Cricetulus griseus: one gene and its partners. The protein of the gene in region 2 purifies or fractionates together with the protein of the main gene of each other region. This does not show direct contact. Links are inferred from orthologs where the notes say so. Each region holds a gene or a part of one and is shown on either strand. Other genes may lie near its edges.

Region 1 (4,160 bases), on a different chromosome or scaffold from region 2:
AATCCTTTGTATCCGGTTTTCTAAAGGTATTATGAAGACATTCCCCGGGGCCTACAGCTTTTTTGTTCCTGTTTTGTGGGAGGCTTACCTGTGTGTGTCCCCATCTATGTAGGTGTCCACACAGGTGTGGGTGATGCTCACCCCTGCAGTCTAGGGGACTCTTGCCAAGTATCCTGTCTCATATCCTTAAAACAATCCAGTGAGAACTGGACCTGGTGTTAAGCAGCTGGCCAGAAAGCCCCACAAATGTATTGTCTCTGCCTTCCACGATGCTAGGGTTATAGACTAACCCTCCTGTAGCCATGGACCAAAAAAATATGTGGATACAAGGTTCCAGGACTGAGGCCCCTATTTATGCATTATCAGCAAGCCCTCTTACTAAGCCAGCTCCCCAGCCCATTTGTTAATACATGGAAGGATTCACTCCGTATACCAAACTGGACTGGAACCCGTTATGTAGTCCAGAAAGGCCTGCAGCTCTCAACAACCCTCCTGCCTTAGCCTCAAGAGGCATGCACCACCATGCTCATTCTAAATGTCACTTCCTCAGAGACCTTCCCTAAGCAGAACATCTAGAGTTGCACTCAACCACCTTTTACTCTATTATCTTACTCACCTGTAGTGTTTATCATTTGGAATATTCTTACTTACCTGTTGTGTTTATCGTTTGTAATATTTTATTCAAGGTAGTTTTGTTCTGTTATATCCACAAACCTCTGTTAAACAGTGCCTGACACATGGTTGGTGCTCAAAGTTTTACTTAGTGAAATATAATAAAAATGGAGCATTGGCTGGAAGAAATGTGGCTAGCACTCGGCGCTGGACCTTGTCAGTAAATTGGAGGCTTAAATGAGGCTAAAGTTCACGGCCTTAGCATGTTCAAATGTTACTTTCTTTTTCCTTCTAAGCACGCTAAAAAGCACGCTTAATTGAAACCATAATACAGAACATCAGATTTGCTTTGCCTTTACAAAAAGCGACTTAAAACAAACTCCGAATCTTCTCTTTGTAAAAAACAAAAAAAAACAAAAAACAACAACAAAAAAAAAACAATTGTGGCACATCCATTCTAGATTCCAAGCCAGCTCGGTTCCATGGAATCAGAAAGTGCGGCCCCGCCCTTCGCGCCGACCCACCTCCCAGAAGTCTGTGCGTCAGGAGACCCCGCCCAGGGCGCACAGCCGACCTGACCGCCGCGCCGGGCCCAACGTAAAGCGTAGGGTTTCGCGACAGCTCAGACTCCACCCCTTCGGCCACATGTCGCGCAGGTCTTCCGGTCGGACGCCGCGCCACCTCGTCGCGCTGCTTTACGAACCTAGCACGGCAGCGCCCCGCCTCCTCCTGCCTCCGTCCTCCGTTCCCCGCCCCCTCCTGGTTTCGCGTCTCCAAGCCCGTCGCGCCCGCTATAATCACGTGATTGCCTCATCCGGGTCCTTTGCGTTCTCTCTCCCTCTCCCAACATGGCGGCCTCAGGTGAGTGAGCGGCCGAGCGTGGCCAAGGACCGGGCTCCGAAATAGCCTCCGGGCTTGATCCGCTCCTTGCTGGAGTTGGGGGGCAGGTGGCACCGGCTCCCTTCGGACCTGGGAGCTGCGGCAGGCTGGCGGCATAGCCGCTGCGGGCTGGTGCCTCGGAATGTTTAGGGGGAGGGGAAGGCCTCTCCCCTCCCCCTCACTCCCTTTTTACCCCCTTGCGCGCGGTTGGAGTAGGCAGTAATGGTGGGCTTCGGCTCCGGTCGGAGGAGGTAGCGCAGAAAGGTGTGCGGGAGTCCCGCGCGAGGCCCTTCTCCTAGGCGTGAGGCGCTGCGCCCGCGCCCAGGCGCGGAGGAAGGACGGAGGCGGTTGGCGCGCGGACTGGAGCGCATGAGACCCGGTCTCCAAGGCGCGAGGCCGTTGCGGACCCTCGTGGGGGCAGGGGTGGGGGGGCGGTTAGAACGCGAGCGCGAGTCCGTGGAGGGGCGGGGGGAAGCGGCGGTGCGCGTGCGCGGCGAGAGGCGAGGTGAAGAGGGTTCGCCTCGGAAGCGTGCGCTCGAGTCCAGATGGCAAGCTCCGATGGGCCCGGGTTTGGCTCCTTGGTGACCTTGTACTTTATGCTTTGGTAGGTTTGGGGTTGTGGAGTGTGACCCGGCCTCTGTCCTCCAAGGGAACGCACATTGGGTTTGGAGGTTGGTGCTGCGATGGTTGGGGGTAGGGAGCCTAGTGTGCGCCCACGTGTTAGGGCGGAGCTGTAGGGATGGACACCTATCTCCTATGTGGATTTTCTTCCCAACTCTTCATTCAACAGTTTGTACTATATGCCAGGCAGGGGTGGGGAACAAGAGCAGGTCGTTGCCTTACACAGCTTCCATTTTGCTTGACTTTTTGGTAGTTTTCAGTTGTCAGGATTCAGCTTGCTTTGGTCGTTTCCCTGGATAATTGGGAAACTTCCCAGAAGGTGCTATTAAAATAATAGCTAGAGGTTCTGTGGTTTTCTTTTTTAAAAATGGGGTGTGTGTGTCACTTCATTGCAAGTGGGTTTGGGGGGGGGAGCTGCTTTTTCTTTGTTTTTGTTTTACATTTTAAATGGACTTGTAAAAATGCCCTTTTAAACACCTAGCTTTAGTTTAGGAAATACGCTTTATTTTCTCTAACATGACCCTCTAGTCTGTAAAAAAAAAATACTTTTTGGATTGTTGCCTCCAAACAATTTTGAGATAGGGTCTCTATAGCTTTGACTGTCCTGGAGCTTGGTAGACCAGGTTGGCCTGGAACTCACAGAGATCCACTGCCTCCCAGGTTCTAGGATTAAAGGCAACATTCAGTCTCCCCACCCCCTTCAGGTCTGAGGTTTCTCTTTGTAGCCTTGGCTGTCCTGGAAACTCTTCAGAGACCAGCCTGCCTCTGCCTCTCAAGTGCTGGGATTAAAGTGTTAAGACACCACACCCAGCAACATTTAATTTATCAGAAATCCATCGTTTCTGTTCTTACAAGGGACCTAGGGCTATGATTGTCTTTGGGAAATGTTCGCTGAATTTAGATGGCATTTGTGCATAAGACTTTATTTCCCCCTCTTGCATTGTTGAACCTTAAACGCAGAACTTTTGGATACAGTAGGCACCATGCACACACACAGCCTTTTTTTGTTTTGTTTTTAAGATTGTGTTTTTGGGGGATTGGAAGCTCACTTAGACCAAGCTGGCCTTGAACTTAGATCCTCAAGTGCTGGGATTAAAGGCATGGACCAGCACATGTTTAGGCAAGCACTCTGGGTAAACTATAAATTCCCAACCCTGAACCAAGGATATACCAACAGCTTTTGTTACTGTAGCACTTAACTGAAGAAACCTGTGAGATAATGTAAAGAACTGGTGATTTCTCCCAGCTGAAGAAAAATTGCTTGCATGTAGCAGGGCAGGGTCAAAATCTTGGGGGACTCCAGGCTCTTGATCTCATTAAGATGGGAAATACTAAAGTGCCACGCTAAGTTGGAGTTGCTGTTGAAAACCATCATCTAAAACTTAAGAAACTGTTTTAAATGGTGGAAAATACTCAATGGCATAGGTGTACTACCTTGTCAGTTGAGTGTCTTAACTGAGTGAAAAGTCTAGATGTGTTTCCCCTTCGAAATTCTTAGTGGTGGACAACACCATAGCTTAACTGAGGACGTGGCTCCGATATACCAAGGCTGTCAAGTTTAGATCCCAGAATCCACATGGTGGAGGCCAGAGCAGACTCCTCCAAGTTATCCTCTTACCTGTGTCCTATCAAACAATAGTTAAGAGTAAGCCGAATCTTTGGTTTTACTCTGGTGTGCAATTCACAATTTAAAAGGTTTGCCTAGTAATGTCTCTTCCCCCTTTTCTCACCTATCTGTGTTACACTCCCAGGAAGACCCTCTCCCCCCCCCCCCTTTTTAAACTTAACTCGGGAAATGTAGCTTAGTGTGTTACCACAGCACATGTTTACCTATTACTTGGCCTTTGAAGAGTTTGGAATTGACCACACTTCTTTCTCCAATTACACTGACTTTGAGTGACCATTATACATACCCAGAGTTGGAAATGGGTTTTGGGTTCTCTGTGAAAATGCCAGATATAACTTAATCACTAATAGGTAAGACCAAACATTTGAGGCAATACCAGTTTCCATGTGACCCTCTGCTAACCTTCAGTATCTTAGTGTTT
Region 2 (4,311 bases):
CAATAATGTATATACATTTCATTGGCACTGTTATTTAGGAACTCTGTAAAGTGGGAAAGCCTGGAAAAGGCTCGGAGATGTAAAGAACAGCAACAGACTACTATGGATGGCCCTGAAAGGGAGGGGCTGATGGGCTGGTAATCAGAGAGACTGGAGAAAAACAGAATGCAAGTAGGGTACCAGCCTCCAAAATTCTTGCAGGTCACTCAGGATTTTATCATTTATGCTGCATGAGACAGGAAGCTGTTGGACATCCTGAGGAACAGATGGACATGATATATGCATACTTATTTAAATAAGTATTTTAAGAATTATTGCTTAATAGAACAACATCTTAACATTTGAGAAACCTGGCAGACAGAGCTACAGCCAACAGATCAAGGTTAATGTCTTAGATTACATCATACAGATACCATTTACCATGTCATATAAGGGCTCACAGTATGCATCCAGTCTGTTTTATAAACACACTCTGTATATAGATACATATGTTTATAAATATGAATGGTGGAAAAGCATATCATGATAATGAAACATGTGAAAAGAGCCCTTTAATTAAAAATTTAGGGTAACAGTTCCTCATGAAGCAGGGAGGAGAATTTCCATCTGACAGGAGCACAGGAGTTTTTAAGGTAATGTTCTGAATCTCCCATGGGTGAGGAATCTGCACATAAAACTTGGTAATTGTTTTTCTTTTAAATAGACTCATTGAAAATGAGTTAAAAATATATAATAAGCCAGGCTCGGTGGAACATGCCTGTAATCTCAGCCAGATTTCTGAGATCAAGCTCTGACAGCCAGAGCTATGTAGAAGAGAGACTCTGTGTCCAAAAAAGAGGGACAAAATAATACAAAGACTTCTCTGTATGCCCTTAGATTCCCCAAATCTAGCATACCTTATCCATTTGCTCTATTCTTATTTTTCCCCCATATCATTTTTGGGTTATTTTTATTTATCTTAAAATAGACAAAAATGTGTGCATTTGTGGTATACAGCATGATGTTTTGATATACACATTGAAAACACTAAAACAAGCTACTTAACATATCAATTGTGTCACAGTTTTCTGGGTAAGAACATGTAAAGTCTATTAGGCAATTTTCAAGTATAGAATAGATTTCTATTAACTATTATCACCATTTTGTACAATGGATCTCCTGAATTTATTCCTAGTCTAACTAAATTTTGCATCCTATGATGAAATTTCCATAATCCTCTCCCTTCCACGTGCATTTTTACATAGGCTAGTTTTTTCAATCATTTGATAAGTTGCTTACATGATGGTTCCTTATCCCTAAATTTTCAGTGTGTATTTTTCACCAAACAAGGGATATTCTTTCATTACCATATTACAATGATCAAAAACAAGAAATCATCAGTAGCAATATTTTATCTACTGGCCCTAGTCAAATTTCACCGTTTTTTTACAATGAAATTTACAGTGAAAGAGAAATTATGAGAAAGAACCCTGATTTTAAAAAATAATTTATTTTTCCTTGTTCTAGGATCCAACTGAGGATCACATGTTGCGTTTAGTTGTGACTTGTTAAACTACATTAATTCCTTCAATCTGGAACAGTTCTTCAGCATCTGTCTTTCACGACCTTGCCGTTTTGAAGCATACAAACCATTTCTTTCATCAGGAAGTCCATCAATTTATGTAAAATGTTTTATACTATAATCTTTGTAGGTCTTACGAATTTCACAATTTAAAAAACAAGACGCAACTCAGAGTGAAATACGAACCCTGAAGCCGTAAATTTTGGGGCAGTGATTAGCCTTTTTTAAAAAATATCAGTAAAGACAATTTGTCAAGGCTGTGGGTTCTTTTTTAAACACCATTTTCTACTGATTACAAAATATTATTGAATAGAAAAAATTTTCTTCTCAAAGAACCTTCCTTTGTAATCTGCACTTTCTCCTGTCCTAGGAAGGAGACCTTGGCTATAATAAATCTAAAAAACAAACAAAAACTATCGCGTCACAATCTTTGCTCTTTCGCAGGCGCCATTTTCTGCCCTCGGCACCGCCCCTCCTCCACATTTGCCTCACCTCAGACCTTCGCCTCGTTCCCAGGAGCCAGGCACCCTCCCCATCCCACCACGCCCTCCGCCCCTCGGCCCACTGCTATAGGCTACGGAGTTGCTCTTCAGCTGACGCCACCAAGCTCCTCGGCTTCACAGGCGCTCCAAGTACTCGTAGGCTGTTCCTCGCAACCGACGCAATGTTTCGTAACACACGCCACGCCCCCGCGTTAAGGACAGAGCCAGCCTCCTTTGCAGGCTCCAGGTTCCCAGACGCAGTCCCCTCTCACCCCCTCCCCAGAAGATGCAGTCCCTACCTCCGAGGCCATTTCTCTCACGCCCTGCCTCTGCCACAAACAAGCCCCATTTTGTCCTCGGGCGGCTAACTGCCCCGCCTCTTCCCCAAATGCTGCGATTCATTCACTAGCACCTCCACGCCCCCCATCTCCTACCCGTCCACCAAGCCCCTTCCCCGCCTCGCACCTCTTCTTCCTCGGAATTTGGCTTCTAAGTACCCCGCGGATACTAACGCCCCCGCAGTCCCCTGGGCCAAGGCTTCATTGAAGCCCAGCCTCACCAGCTTTCGCCAGCTCGCAGTGGACGCTCTCGCCCATTCTCGACTTGGCGCCACTGCTCGTCCAGGTCTGGCATTGCCTCGCGCTGTGTCTCTTTCTCCTCGGCGGAGGCCGGGATGGCAGCTGCAGCTGGGTCCGCTGCGACCGCCGCCATCTCCGTCCGTTCTCCTCCAACTGCCGACGCAACTGAAGATAGGAAGAGGACCCTCAACTGGCACTTCCGGATTTTGTCCCGGAAACGGAAGCAGAGCCCCCCAACAATCAGGGGGCCACTGCCATCTTGGAAACGTCACTATTAGGCGGAAACTGGGTGGTGGGCTGTGATCTGTGTAACCAATACCAGGGGTTAACCCTCCAGTTTGGAACTAGTGCTTATGGAATTCTAACACTAGGTCAAAAGGTCTTATGGAAGGTGGAGGCTAAAGGTTTTCCACATGAGCAAAGATGTGTGTTTTGGGCCTTACAAAAAGAGCTTATGGCAAATCTCCCTGCCCCTTGCTCTGTTGAGGACTGCACCCCCCCACACACTGTGAAAGCACCATTTTTGTTAGCCTAACTAGAATTACCTTTCATTGCACTACCCTCTTGTCCATCAAAAACAAATGTAGCGACTGGAGAGATGGCTCAGCAATGAAGGGCACTTGTTGCACTGGCAAAAGATGGGGATTCAATTACCAGTACCCACAGTGCTCACAACCATCCAAAACACCAGTTCCAGGGGATCAGCAGGAATGCACAAGGTGCACATACATGCATACAGGGGAAACATTCATACACATAAAGTAAAATAGTTGGGTATTTTGTTTTTGTTAGGGTTTTTTGTTTTTCCAAGACAGGGCTTCTCTGTGTATCCCTGGCTGTCCTCGAACTTGCTCTCTAGACCAGGGTGGCCTCGAAATCATAGAGATTCTCCTGCTGAGTGCTGGGATCAAAGTCCTGTGCCTCCACTGCCTGTCTCTGTTTTTTTTTTTTTTAACTCAAATACAGAAAGTTTACCACCTCCTGAGAGCCTCACAGGGTTGCCTTTCGTAACTAGGGTGTGTGTGTCTGTCTTTGAGAACAGGACTTTTGCTAAACTGCCCCAAATTGCCTCCAACTCTGTGGAGCTCAGGCTGGCATCTGATTTGCCTTGACCCAACTGTCTCAGTCTCCAAAGTGTGGATTGTAAGCATACTGTTCAACACTGAGCTTCCGGAACTAGAGTTACTCACCAGACAAATCTGATGAAGTCAGCCCTAAACCATGTGTTTGTTGGAGGCATAACAAATAGTCACTCTGCCAGTTTAAGTGACTTGAACTTAAATGCCTTGGGTGGCAGGTACTGTATTTTTTGGCCCATGATTAACAATGGGGTTAGCTGAGATCCAGAAATGTCAAATCATTTGTTCTCAACTAGGATGTGCTGTAGCAATGCAGACCTAGTTACAGAGCTGTGACCTTAAACACCAAACAGATCCTCAAACTGTGGTCACAGGCTATCAGCTCAAGAATCCCTCTTGGGGGTTTCACAAAGTCAAAACTATTTCTGCAGTATCTTCACTCTCGTTTTCACACATATATAGTGAAATTACCCAGAAGGTACTTTGGAATAAGCAAAAGTTCTTTGAGTGTCCTCAATCTTATATAAATGAAATCTTAAGTCAAACATTTAAGAGCCACTGAATGTGCCAGGGTTTCTTTTGGTGTTTTTCTGAAATAAGTGTCTCAATTC
Region 3 (3,659 bases), about 82 Mb from region 2:
AAGGATTATAAGTTGATACTCATTGCAACAAAGCTAAGTAAATCTAGCCACATAGTTCTCCATCCCCAGGGCGGAAAGGCAGCTGGAACCTTTCTCTGAGCAGATTTTTAGCAGAGCCCAGCTTCAAGTTCTTCCCATGAGTGTCTAATTGAATGTAGGAAAAATCCTTATAGTGAGACAGCACTATTGTCTCTTCATATGAATATGACTGCACAGCACATATCCTAGGCACAGATATGGATGGCAAAAGTTCACTCTATGGGTAAGATTTATCCCCATTTCACAGGCAGCAGGGCTCAGCCTTACAGCAGTAAAGGACAGATTGTGTCTTCCACCATGGAGCCCCAGGAGTAATACAAATGTTACCTCCCATGTTACACCCAGAAAAAAAAAATGCAATGACTCCACCCCCGCCCCAGCACAGAGCTCTGATTGCTTATGACTAGTTCCCCTCTCCTGTATCTTATGCCCAGAAGGAGCAGCCATCTTAGGAGACAACAAACTATTGAGAGAACAATAAAGAACGACACAAGTAATTCTCAAATACTTGTTTTCTCCATGTAGATTACTATGTGTTGCATTTTCACAAAAGTGGGCTGGTGCCAAATAGAGGGTTCTGTGGCTTATGTACTTTGATTTGACAATGCACTCTGAATATTTTTTCCATGCGGTGAAGGAAAATCTACTGCACTGGGATCAGAACACGGCAGGGTCAAACAGGATGCAGCCTAAATCGAAGCAGCAGCAAGTGCTGACCAGGGAACTAAACATAAGGGATGTCTTCGATGTCCCTTCGAGGGGCCCTGCAGCCACCCCTGAATTCCCTTGGGCCCCTTGGGTGGAAGGGGTCCTGCAAACTTCTTTGCATCCAGAAGATGTGTCCCATCTTCTGCTTGTTCTTTCTCTCATCCTCCTTTACCCTGGCCATGTTGTCAAATTCCCTAATCATGTCCTCATTGCTGAAGTGCATATCGTGGATGGCCTCCTTATACTCCTTGAGGCAGTGGGCCAGCCCCTTGTTGGTTTTTCTTTTGGCTTTTCTGGGCAGGGGGTCCTCAGCCGGGCGCTTTCCAGCAGGGTTCCCTTTACTAAATTCTGGGTTTCCCTGTGTCTCTGGCCTTCCTTCCTGTTTTGCCCTTCTCTCGGGCTCCGGCTGCTCTTGGCGCCTTGGCAGCATCCCCTCATCTCCTGCCTTTGCCTGGCTTTCTGACCTTTCTTCCTCTTCCGGAGAAAAGGCTACTTCTGACTGTCCTTCCTCCTGTGGCTCTTTACCGTTTTCCACTTGTGCTTGCTTCGAAGGCACTGCTTCCTTCTCCCTCGAGAGTTCTTCCATGTCCGGATTGTTCTTTTTCTGTCCTGGAGGTAGAGGTGGGGGTGGGGTGGGGGAAAGAGGAAATAGAGAAGACACGGAGACTGAGGAGCAGGGGCGGAAGGCACGTTCATCTAGTCTTTGCATCGTGCCCTTGAGAATGGTTCTCTAACTCAGCCTGTCTGCCCTCCAAGTGTGCCTTCTGCCTGCACCCTTCCCTCACAGTTGAGGTAAGCACATCCCGGCAGGTCCTGCCGCCTTCTCTGTCTGTGCTCTTTCACTGTGGCAAACACTGTGGAATACGGTGGGGGTGCGCGGTAGAGACCCAAATCTGCCTGTGTCCCTGTCCATATCGCAGTGACTGAGAGCAGGTCGTCCCTCCTTTCCAGGTGTCCGAGGAAGGAGGCAGTGGCAGTCTCAGATATGCAGACAGGGCACAGGGGGGAGGGTCTATGCACTCAGTGAAAAGCTGTGGCTGGAAAACTGTCCTGGATTCAGGACTTGTCCTCCTCCATTCCTCCCTGCTCCCCAGCCGCCATTTCTTTTCAAGCCTTGAGCTCCAGGGAGGACGGTCTTCTAGCTATTTGGGGGTCTGTGAGTCTCCCTGTCCTGGCTGGAACTCAAGAGCCCACCTTGCCGCTTAGCGGCTTTGGGGTCAGTAATGGCAGAAGGTTGCTTTTCTGTCTTTTTTCCTCCCTTTCCTTCTTTCCAAGCCCTCCCTTAGAGGGCTCCTCCCAGCCCCGGTCCAGTACTGGGACTCCAAAAGGGAGCAGAGAAGGGGCAGCGAAGGCAGCCAGGATACTGGAGTGGGGTGTAGCAGGCAGACGGGGATACTTGGGGGTGTCTGCCTTCTCTGCCTTCTGCCCGGCGGCCTCAAGCCCCCTAGTAACCTCCCTTTCCCACTGCCTTGTGGTCTACACTCAAGCCCTCCTCCCTTGTCCCAACTCCACCTCCTGCCTTTCCCTCCTAGCGCCCAGCTGGCCTCGCCCCTTAGCATTCGCCTCTAGCCTCTAGGCGCAAAACCTCACACTGACCTGAGAGAAGCAACAACAGTAACCAGGAGCCCCAGGGAATTGAGAGATGGCTCTGGGACAGAGCCCTTGGGAGCAGCGAGGGTGGGGCACTCCAGCAGGCAAATCACGTGACACCACCCAGCGCCAGCCTTCCCTCTTGCCTACTAGCAAGACTCAGCCAGTCACACACCACTCCTCGAATCAGGTACCACTCACATTAAGGGCGTGTCTGTTTCTCTTGTTGGAAAGTTGGTTTTATAAAGAATTTTATTCAATGCCACACTTTTTTTTTTCTTCCGTTGTACTGGGTGGTGTGATGGAAGAATCTTGACAATGTTGCTTTCAAATCTATTGCAAGATCTGAATCAGTGAAGCAAGTCCTAGAACTGGGAATTGAATGCGTGGACAGTAGGATATTGCACTTTTGAGAAAAAGAAATAGGAATTTGTCTCACCAAATAACACTTCCTAATTTTATCATCTGACTTTCATGCATTTTCTAATGAAAAAGGAAAGGGACTTACATTTGGAGCTGAGCGAGAGAATGACTCTTTTATTTTAAGTGGGAAAGTGAGTATAAAGGGTGCAAAGATCAGACCCTGGATGAAGACAGAACTGAGATCAACCATGATTTCAGCACACAGCTTGAGTAACCAAGCACACCTCCACACCAATCTCCAGGACAGAAAGAGAAACCCACTTTCCTTTAAACACATTTAATATATCCTCTAGTCTATGACATCTGGGCCCAGCTTCCAGTAGCCTGATCCCAGCTAGATCTTCTCAAGAACTTCCTAAACTCTTACATCTTTTAAACAGATCTCCATGACAAAGCTTTCTAGCTTGCCTCTCTGGCAATCACAAATGTTGTGTGACTCCCCTGCTTTATCAAGTTGTAAACAAGGAGCCTGTGTTTGTGCTTATGTGGGTTGCCCCCCTCCTGCCCCCCATACAAAGGCCTTTGGATGGTTCACTTATAGTGGCCTTGAACCATCTTTAATGGAATGTTATTGCCTCCCTTCCAAAAGAATTAAATTTCCATCTAGTGGTAGACATGCCACACTCTCACTGATTAAGAGTTAATCCACTTGGGTCAGCAAACCAGTAGGATAAAGCCATTCTAAAAGACAAAGGGGACTAAGATGATCCTTTCTTGAGGCAACGTGTCTTCCCTTCCCATAAGCCCTGCTCCTGCAGCAGTCTCCTTCAGAGCTGTAATCTTGCAGCCTTTTCAATCTGCCCACTTTTCTTCTCTCTTCTGGGTGTGGTTTCAGGAACTCTTCTTGCTTCCCCAACACTGTGGGCTTTACTCTTTCTCTGAAGCTCCCTCCATCCCTA

The links. Proteins that work in one complex are often made in the same cells at the same time.
Region 1: the proteins of Usp11 (region 2) and Eif4b purify together in Homo sapiens (affinity purification with western blotting; 3 studies listed by BioGRID, with this or other methods). This does not show direct contact. The link is inferred for Cricetulus griseus from reciprocal best matches to the Homo sapiens genes USP11 and EIF4B.
Region 3: the proteins of Usp11 (region 2) and transcription elongation factor A protein-like 4 purify together in Homo sapiens (affinity purification with mass spectrometry; 3 studies listed by BioGRID, with this or other methods). This does not show direct contact. The link is inferred for Cricetulus griseus from reciprocal best matches to the Homo sapiens genes USP11 and TCEAL4.

Annotation. Positions count from the first base shown.
Region 1 is NC_048595.1:398,468,344-398,472,503, forward strand, and holds the start of Eif4b (eukaryotic translation initiation factor 4B), read left to right. Parts: upstream 1-1,327; 5' UTR 1,328-1,460; coding exon 1,461-1,473; intron 1,474-4,160. UniProt on the Homo sapiens protein: Required for the binding of mRNA to ribosomes. Functions in close association with EIF4-F and EIF4-A. Binds near the 5'-terminal cap of mRNA in presence of EIF-4F and ATP.
Region 2 is NC_048604.1:125,510,954-125,515,264, reverse strand, and holds the start of Usp11 (ubiquitin carboxyl-terminal hydrolase 11), read right to left. Parts: upstream 2,812-4,311; 5' UTR 2,755-2,811; coding exon 2,603-2,754; intron 1-2,602.
Region 3 is NC_048604.1:43,940,611-43,944,269, reverse strand, and holds transcription elongation factor A protein-like 4, read right to left. Parts: upstream 2,497-3,659; 5' UTR 2,344-2,496; intron 1,540-2,343; exon of another isoform or gene 1,357-1,539; 5' UTR 1,334-1,356; coding exon 764-1,333; 3' UTR 534-763; downstream 1-533. UniProt on the Homo sapiens protein: May be involved in transcriptional regulation.